Linked DNA regions of Caenorhabditis elegans. The protein of the gene in region 2 interacts with the protein of the main gene of each other region in a pairwise test. Each region holds a gene or a part of one and is shown on either strand. Other genes may lie near its edges. The genes, in order: pas-2 and C40A11.7.

Region 1 (3,792 bases), on a different chromosome or scaffold from region 2:
AGAGAAGACAGTTGTTAAAGAAGAAACAAAGAGTAATTTTATTATTTTAAAATCTAGTAGTTTTTGATAATTACTGCGGAAGCAAGTCATATTTCTTATCTGATTCAAACTTTTACAACTTTCAGGAACACGAAGTGAAGGCAAAGGCACTGGCAATGATGAGTGCCAAACTCCACATTGAGGTCAAAAAACGAAGAATTCTCAGGCAGCAAACTGTTGATGCAAACTCGAAGATGTGAAATTCATATTCTAATATTAATTTTTTATTTAAAAATTAAAACAACATTTATAATAGTTATAAATTTTTCTTGATGAATATATCTGCATCACTAATACCCATCTCGTAATATTGTTTCAAAATAAACCTATTTGGTGGGAACAATGCTCGAGCTCCACGATACAAATTTCGTCTACTCGCCTAAAAAATTAAATTTCAATTGAATCTTATTAAATAATAGAAACCTTGAATATTTGTTTACCGAATTCAATGTTCCAGGTTGAAGGATCATCCGGACAAATATCGGCTTGACTGGAAAACGGAGAGCATGTTATCGTCAAAACGTCTGGAAATGTGGGCAAATTGTTGGTCATTCCACCATCGATGCATTCCTGAATTATTTTAATTTATTAGTCCATTGTATTATGCGAACACAAAACTCTGAGAATGTGTATTGCGCAAAATGTCTCGTGGCGAAAACTACAGTAATTCTTCAAATGACTACTTCAGCGTCTGTGTCGATTTTTAATGAGAATAACACAAAGAAAAAAAAATCAAAAATTGAGCCCGTAAATAAATCGACACAAAAACTACAGTAGTCATTTAAAGAATTATTGTAATTTTCGCCACGAGATATTTTTGCGCGTCAAATATATTGCGCAATACGTATTCACAGAATTTTGTGTTCCCGTAATAATATAAATGCACCTCTTGATTAATAATTGGTGGAACCCCTTTATATCCCATTGAATACATTGGAATGTAGCAACTGGCAAGAAGGCATGATATCAAATGATCACGACTGTCAAATTTGTTGATCATTATATTTTCCCATTTCTAGAAAACAATTTTTATGAGAGTTTCAAGCGTATTTGTTCTTACTTTCAATTTGGTTATGGAAATATGCAATCTTCCCTGAGCATTTGCAATATCAGTCGGAAGAAAGTCGTCTATGATCTGAAAGTTTCCTTTTTCTTCATCTGAAAAATTAGGGATGCCTACTGTAACTAGTTGTTCATTCAAGTAATATCCAGGAGTCATGGCACCAAATCTTTGAGCATGAACGTGATCTGCCATTGAATACAGTGTGTCGATTGCAGCATCAAGTCTGAGTAGATTTAGATTATTGCCTACTTTCTATTATTCTAGGAAATATGTATTTACTTTTCAGGAGCCAAAGCAAGAATTGCAGCAACTAAACTTCCTGCAGATGCACCAGCAAATCGATCAACTTTCTCTCCAATAGTCTGTTAGAATTTTTACATTTAGTTTTTGAACTCTTGAACTTAATTTATTTTTACTTTTTTTTCTTGCATCAGACGTTTTGCTGCTCCGAAATTGTAAGCTCCAAGAAATCCCGAACCACTAAACGACAATGCCAACTTTGAAACATCTGAAGATGAGGATTTCAAATAAAACAGTTGGTGAAAAATTAGAAATTCGTACCTTCTAGTTTGTTTAGTCGTTTCAGCAAAATAGTCGATATTTTCATAGTTATAGATTTTATATAATAAAAATTAAATCACAAGTGTCTCATGGTAAAGAAGATTTCCAATAAACATGCCACTGTGTTGAAGAAACTAAATAAAAACAAAAGTGACGAATTACAGCGTTGCCCGCATGGAGGAGTTGAGACGATGAATATGTTTTTAATTTATGTGAAAAAGATAAAAATCAATTAACGAAAAAATTCACATGCATTAAACATTTAGAGAAGTGTAAACATTTTAATTTTCACAATAAATGTTTGGTAATTAGATTCTCCGGGAATTTTGCGTCGATGAAGTGGTCATAAAGCGCGCTCTACCGCACTCAGTTCGAATGATGACAATTTCACCGGGTTTTCTTTTTCATTTGCTCCTCGCTTTAAAGCAAACGCTTTCTTGTTGTCAATTGGTGTTCGATTAAATTTCTCAGTTAAAATAAATTTTTCAGAAATCACTGAAAAATGGGAGATCACTATGGATTCTCACTCACCACCTTCAGGTAGTTTAAATTCAATCTCCAGAAAAGTCAATTTTATTTTTATAGCCCATCGGGAAAATTGATGCAAATCGAATATGCATTGAATGCTGTCAAGAATGGGCAACCATCGGTTGGACTGAGAGGTATTCAAGTTTTTGTCTTGTACTGTCGTTTTCAATGGGAAATTCATTTTCAGCTAAAGACGGAGTCGTTCTTGCGACCGAGAATGTCGGATCTGTTCTCACCGATGACCAGCCAAAGGTAGAACAAATCAGCAAGCATATTGGATGCGTCTACAGTGGAATGGGACCAGACTTCCGTATTTTGGTGAAGAAAGCTCGCAAGATTGCTATGGAATACGAAATGATGTACGGCGAGGAAATGCCAACCATTCAACTTGTCACTGACATCGCGGCCGTAATGCAGGAATATACTCAATCTGGGTGAGTTAGAACTTTTCTAAACGCACTCTATTCAGATTTTTCAGTGGTGTTCGTCCGTTTGGAGCATCGCTTCTTATCGCAGGTTGGGACAAAAATCCAGGACGGCCATTGCTCTTCCAATGTGATCCATCTGGAGCTTACTTCGCATGGAAAGCAACAGCACTCGGGAAAAACGACGTCAATGCGAAAACATTCCTCGAGAAGCGCTTCAGCGAGGCCCTCGAGCTCGATGATGGAATTCACACTGCTCTTCTGACACTGAGAGAATCGTTCGATGTTGGCATGAACGAGAACAACGTTGAGGTGGCTGTTTGTAACTCGACCGGATTCCATCGGCTCACCAAGCAACAAGTCCATGATCACCTTGGAACTCTTTAAATCGAGTGATTTCACAATTTTCTTTCTTTCTTTTCTCTAATTTATTCTATGTATTCTCCCATCTATCCGTACCCGGTAGTAATCTCTTTTTGCTACGGTGTTTTGTTGGAACAATGAATCCTTTTACCGTTTTACACCCGACTTTTGAGGTACTTTTATTAAGGTGTATAACCCTATTAGGTTGTTTATCTTGACTGAATTTTCTCAGACTTATGAACAAACTTGTTTTCAGCTATTAATCAAAATGTCTTCAAAACCAAGGTGAGCATTAAAATTTACAGGATAGTGAATTTTAAAAATTTTGAAATAAGAATTCGTTACATTCAAATTTCAGGCATGATTGGTTCCAGAGTGAAACTGATGTCACTTTAACTATCCTAAAACGCGGAGTGCCTCTCGATGATTGCTCTGTTTCTCTATCAGATAACAACACACTGACGGTCAAGCAATGTGATGAGATTCTCTTCTATGGACAATTATCTGGTCAAGTGAAAAAAGATGATCTTACTGTAAAATGCACTGCCGCCAAGGTTAGTTGGGTTGAAATATTATTGTAGATCCATTAGAAACTAGAAAACTAGATAAATGTCTAAACGTCAAGATTTTCTAGTGATCCTCCCAAGCATACCTTATTTATTAAATTATGGTTATTAACATTAAAAACATGTTTTCCGGCCATGGAAAATTGATTGGAATTTGTTTAATTTTAGTGTAGTTTATTTTAACTCGATTGAAACAGTTATTCAAGAATAGTCTGAGAAATTGCGTCTAGTCAGAAAATGCTAGCTA
Region 2 (3,930 bases):
ACTCTCCGATTAAAGGATTTAAAACATTTACAAATTTTGATAAATTGGAGAAATATATTAATGGGAGGCTGTGAAAATCGGGAATTTATGAATAAAATGTTGATCACTTCTAGACGCCGCCGTACCTTTTTGAGAAGTTTTCGAGAATTTTCATTATAAAACAAATGTAAAAAATTTGATAAATGCATTTGAAATATTAAATAATATGTGGGTATTCATTCTCCGTTCAAAATACTATCGATTTTCTTCTGTAGATCATCCATAGCTGTTAAATCAACGCAACCTGAATGCGTACTGTTGTAGATGCGATAACTCCAAACTGGTTCAGGGTAATATTTCATTCCGCGATGTCTCCTTAAATCTTTTGGCAGAGGTTCTCGATTATCCATTGGTTCTGCAAAATAATTTTAAGTAATTTGTTACAAATACGCTAAATAAATTAATCAGACATGTTTCAACAAATTGCGATGAAAAAACATTTTTAGGTCAATTTTTTTCCAAAAATTTTTTAATCTAATTTTTATAAAATTTTAAAAAATAAGTCAATTGTGTCATTTTCTATATTAAAATCAAAAATAAAAATTACGGTTGTCACTGTGAATTTCTAAAAATTGAAGTAAACTTTGCGTTTTTCAGTTGAAAACAGTAGTTTTATTTATGCAAACTGTTATATCTCTAAGAAAACATATGGCACTTTTTAAAAAAAATTACCAAAAATATCTCTGTAAATTTAACTTTCAGAAAATATATTTGACATTTTTGTAGCTAATCAGGTTCTAAAGTTATGCTAGTTTTCGCCAAAGAGACACATTTACAGGCCGGTGTAGTATCCTCAAAACTTACAATTTTCGGAATTTTAATGATTTTTTTAAAATTTTCCGAAAACGAAAAAAATCCAAAAAACTCACGAAAATAGATTTCTACCACTGAACTGTTTTTCTTAACAAACTCATCGAATCGAAATCCTTCTGGGATGTATATGATATCGTTATTATGGGTTATGTAGTTAATCACAACTACTGGCTGAAAATGATATCAAAATGATATTAAAATAGCATATATTTATATATATATATATATATATATATATATATATATATATATATATATATATATATATATATATATATATATATAACTGAAACTGAAATATATACATATATATATATACATATGGGAAAATAAATAACACCTACCTTCTTGGTGCTGGCGATGATTTGCAGCAATTCATGAGACGAGCGATAAGTTCGGATTTGATTATTTATAGGTTCACACAAGTCTACCAACTGCTCCAACAAGTAGAATTCGGCTTCTTTTTTCAGTTCTTGTAGTTCTTTTTCAGAGTCTGGAAGTACTGTAACACCGGATCTCATGTAGTTTAGCACAGTTTCAAAGTACTTTGGAGAGCGATCAATGAAATAACAATCGGAAGTGTCCTTTTTAACCTGAATTTGAAAAATTTGACTTTTTTGTTATATCTGGAGAACGGGCCACAAATGATTTCACTAAGAATATATAGGCTTACAAACCGGCCTGGACTGGACTTAGACTTGATTTTTGGACATGATTTCCTAGTTGGCGAAAAAAGAAACAAACTAACCGGAATATTCGTCTCGACTAATGTTTTGAAAAATCCATCCTGCTTGGTCAGTGTCGATTTCCACGTCTCGAATACAGATCCGCCGACATTCAACTTGACAATTGTCTCAGAAGAGCACATATTGAGTAGTCACAAAGAATGAATACCTTGTGTTACAGAAGATTCCTTCTGTTGCTTTTTATCGATTTTTTTGACGACCTGCTCATCGCATTCCTCTGAGCACCTCGGGAAAGGTGACCTCAGTTTTCCCAAAATTGTGTGAAAAATTATTTAATTATTTATTCCGTTACAAGGAAATATGTAGATATAGCTCACAATCAACGAAATATTAAAAAAAAACCTATGAATTTTAAACCACATACTAAAAACTAAAAATCGTCTCCTCATATATCCATCTTCGAGATTTCCTCTCCCAACTACACACTCCTCTCCTCAGCACCATATTGTCGGGCACCATCTCGCTAAACGCAACCTCTTCAGAGTAATAGGCCAAGCAAGCCACGTAGATCAAGGGAATCGATAAGATATTGATGATCGGAAGGATAAATCGGGTTACATCGCGAATCTCATAGGCTTCCTCCTGATCTGCCCAGGGGACCAGGCTGATGAAGCAACGGCCTATGTAATAGGCCTCGGTTAAGGCCATGAAAATAATTATGAATAGCTTCTGAGCAGTTGTTGCCTTGGCTCTTTTCAGTAGAGTGTAGTGCGTGGGCGTGAATGGCTCATTGAATTGATCCAACATTATTATATGTAGGTAATACTCGATAGCAACGATTACGACGCAGACGAGTAACTGAAAATTTTGAAATTGACGTAATTTAAGTATCCGATAAGCTACAGAAATTTTGAATACACTTTCTGAAAGTGAAACATTTGGGCATACTTTTGGTAATTTTTCAAAAAAAAATTGCAAATTTGGCTCTGAGATATTATAGTTTGAATTTGTAAAACTATAGTTTTCAACTGAAAATATTATAATTTTATTCAAAATTTTCAAAATTCTCAGTTGATGAATAACTCATTTCACAAAATTCCATAAAATCACGTGGTGTCAGAATGTCCCATTTCGTTATGATCTACCAGAAATGCGGGAATTTAGACGCAGATTTTTCAAGTGGTTTCGCATGGTTAAGAACGTGCTGACGTCACACTTTTTGGGGAAAATTTTCCCGCATTTTTGTAGACCAAACAGCACCACGAGAAAATTAGAACACATTTTTTTTAAGAACATTGTCAGAAATTTGTTTTTAGTCAAAACATTCTGAATTATTTAGATTAACTACAATAACGTGCTAGATTATTTGAAAACCCAGAAAAAGATCAAATAAATTCAATACTAAAATTTGGCTGACCGCGACGCGACCGCACCGCACCACTAAAAATTTCAAAAGTTACCGAAAATAATCAACATGAGATTCAAGTTTCAGAAAAATAACGGACAACTCAAAAATCAAGTTTTTAGAGTTTGAATCTCAATGCTAACGTTAATTGAAAAGTCTGACCGCGACGCGACCGCGCCGCATCACTAAATTATTTCAAAGTTCTTTGAAAATAGTCGTTACGGGTTTCAAATTTCAGAAAAATTGACGGAAAACTCAAAAATCGAGTTTTTAAAGTTTGAATCTCAATGCTAAAGTTAGTTGTAAAATCCGACCGCAACGCAACCGCAACGCAACCGCAACGCAACCGCAACGCAACCGCACCTTAACGCGACCGCAACGCGTCCGCACCGCACCATTCAAAAATGTGCTCAAACCGTGCCAGATTATTTTTAAAAAGCAGAAAGTGTAAAATCTTGATTAAATTGAAGTTTTATCGAAAACTATATGCACAACTTGTCTGAAATTTCACCGGAATAGGTTTTCGACTATGCTCTTTCCGAAAATAAATTTTAAATTTTCCTTGAATTTTCCTCGGCTTCAGATTATAAGGTTACCGGTAAACAACAACTCACATTTGCCCATTCGCTGTACATTCTGATGGGAACATATACGGAGATTAGAAATGTCTTGAAAATCACCGCAGTCGCCATTTTATACTGGTTTGTTGTTTTTTTTTAAACGACCGAATATCATAATCTCACTGAGAATTTAAAAGTATTGAAGTAAATTTTGCGTTTTTCAGTTGAAAACAGTAGTTTTGCATATTCAAACTGTTCCAACTCAACGAAAAAGTATTTTTTTTTTCTTATGAAAAAACTTAAAACATGATCTTAAGTTTTACTTTCAGAAAATTTATTCAAAGTTTGCGTAGCTGATTAGTTTCTGAAGTTACGTAAGTTTTTTCACCAAATTCAAATGAAAACAAGTGTTCATTTTGTGAAACGT

What was found.
Region 1: the proteins of C40A11.7 (region 2) and pas-2 interact in a two-hybrid assay, tested with the Caenorhabditis elegans proteins (2 studies listed by BioGRID).

The regions. Positions count from the first base shown.
Region 1 is NC_003283.11:10,768,216-10,772,007, forward strand, and holds pas-2 (Proteasome subunit alpha type-2), read left to right. Parts: upstream 1-2,152; 5' UTR 2,153-2,165; coding exon 2,166-2,203; intron 2,204-2,248; coding exon 2,249-2,325; intron 2,326-2,378; coding exon 2,379-2,625; intron 2,626-2,669; coding exon 2,670-3,003; 3' UTR 3,004-3,136; downstream 3,137-3,792. Other genes in the region: ocr-1 (Ion transport domain-containing protein), read left to right, coding at 1-32, 126-239; D1054.1 (PNPLA domain-containing protein), read right to left, coding at 296-418, 463-609, 926-1,054, 1,100-1,174, 1,220-1,325, 1,382-1,464, 1,519-1,610, 1,664-1,709; D1054.3 (SGS domain-containing protein), read left to right, coding at 3,248-3,264, 3,338-3,533. UniProt on the Caenorhabditis elegans protein: The proteasome is a multicatalytic proteinase complex which is characterized by its ability to cleave peptides with Arg, Phe, Tyr, Leu, and Glu adjacent to the leaving group at neutral or slightly basic pH.
Region 2 is NC_003280.10:2,148,591-2,152,520, forward strand, and holds C40A11.7 (BTB domain-containing protein), read right to left. Parts: upstream 1,962-3,930; intron 1,839-1,961; 5' UTR 1,721-1,838; coding exon 1,601-1,720; intron 1,446-1,600; coding exon 1,197-1,445; intron 1,024-1,196; coding exon 909-1,023; intron 395-908; coding exon 216-394; 3' UTR 142-215; downstream 1-141. Other genes in the region: C40A11.2 (BTB domain-containing protein), read left to right, coding at 1-74; C40A11.8 (G protein-coupled receptor), read right to left, coding at 1,962-2,345.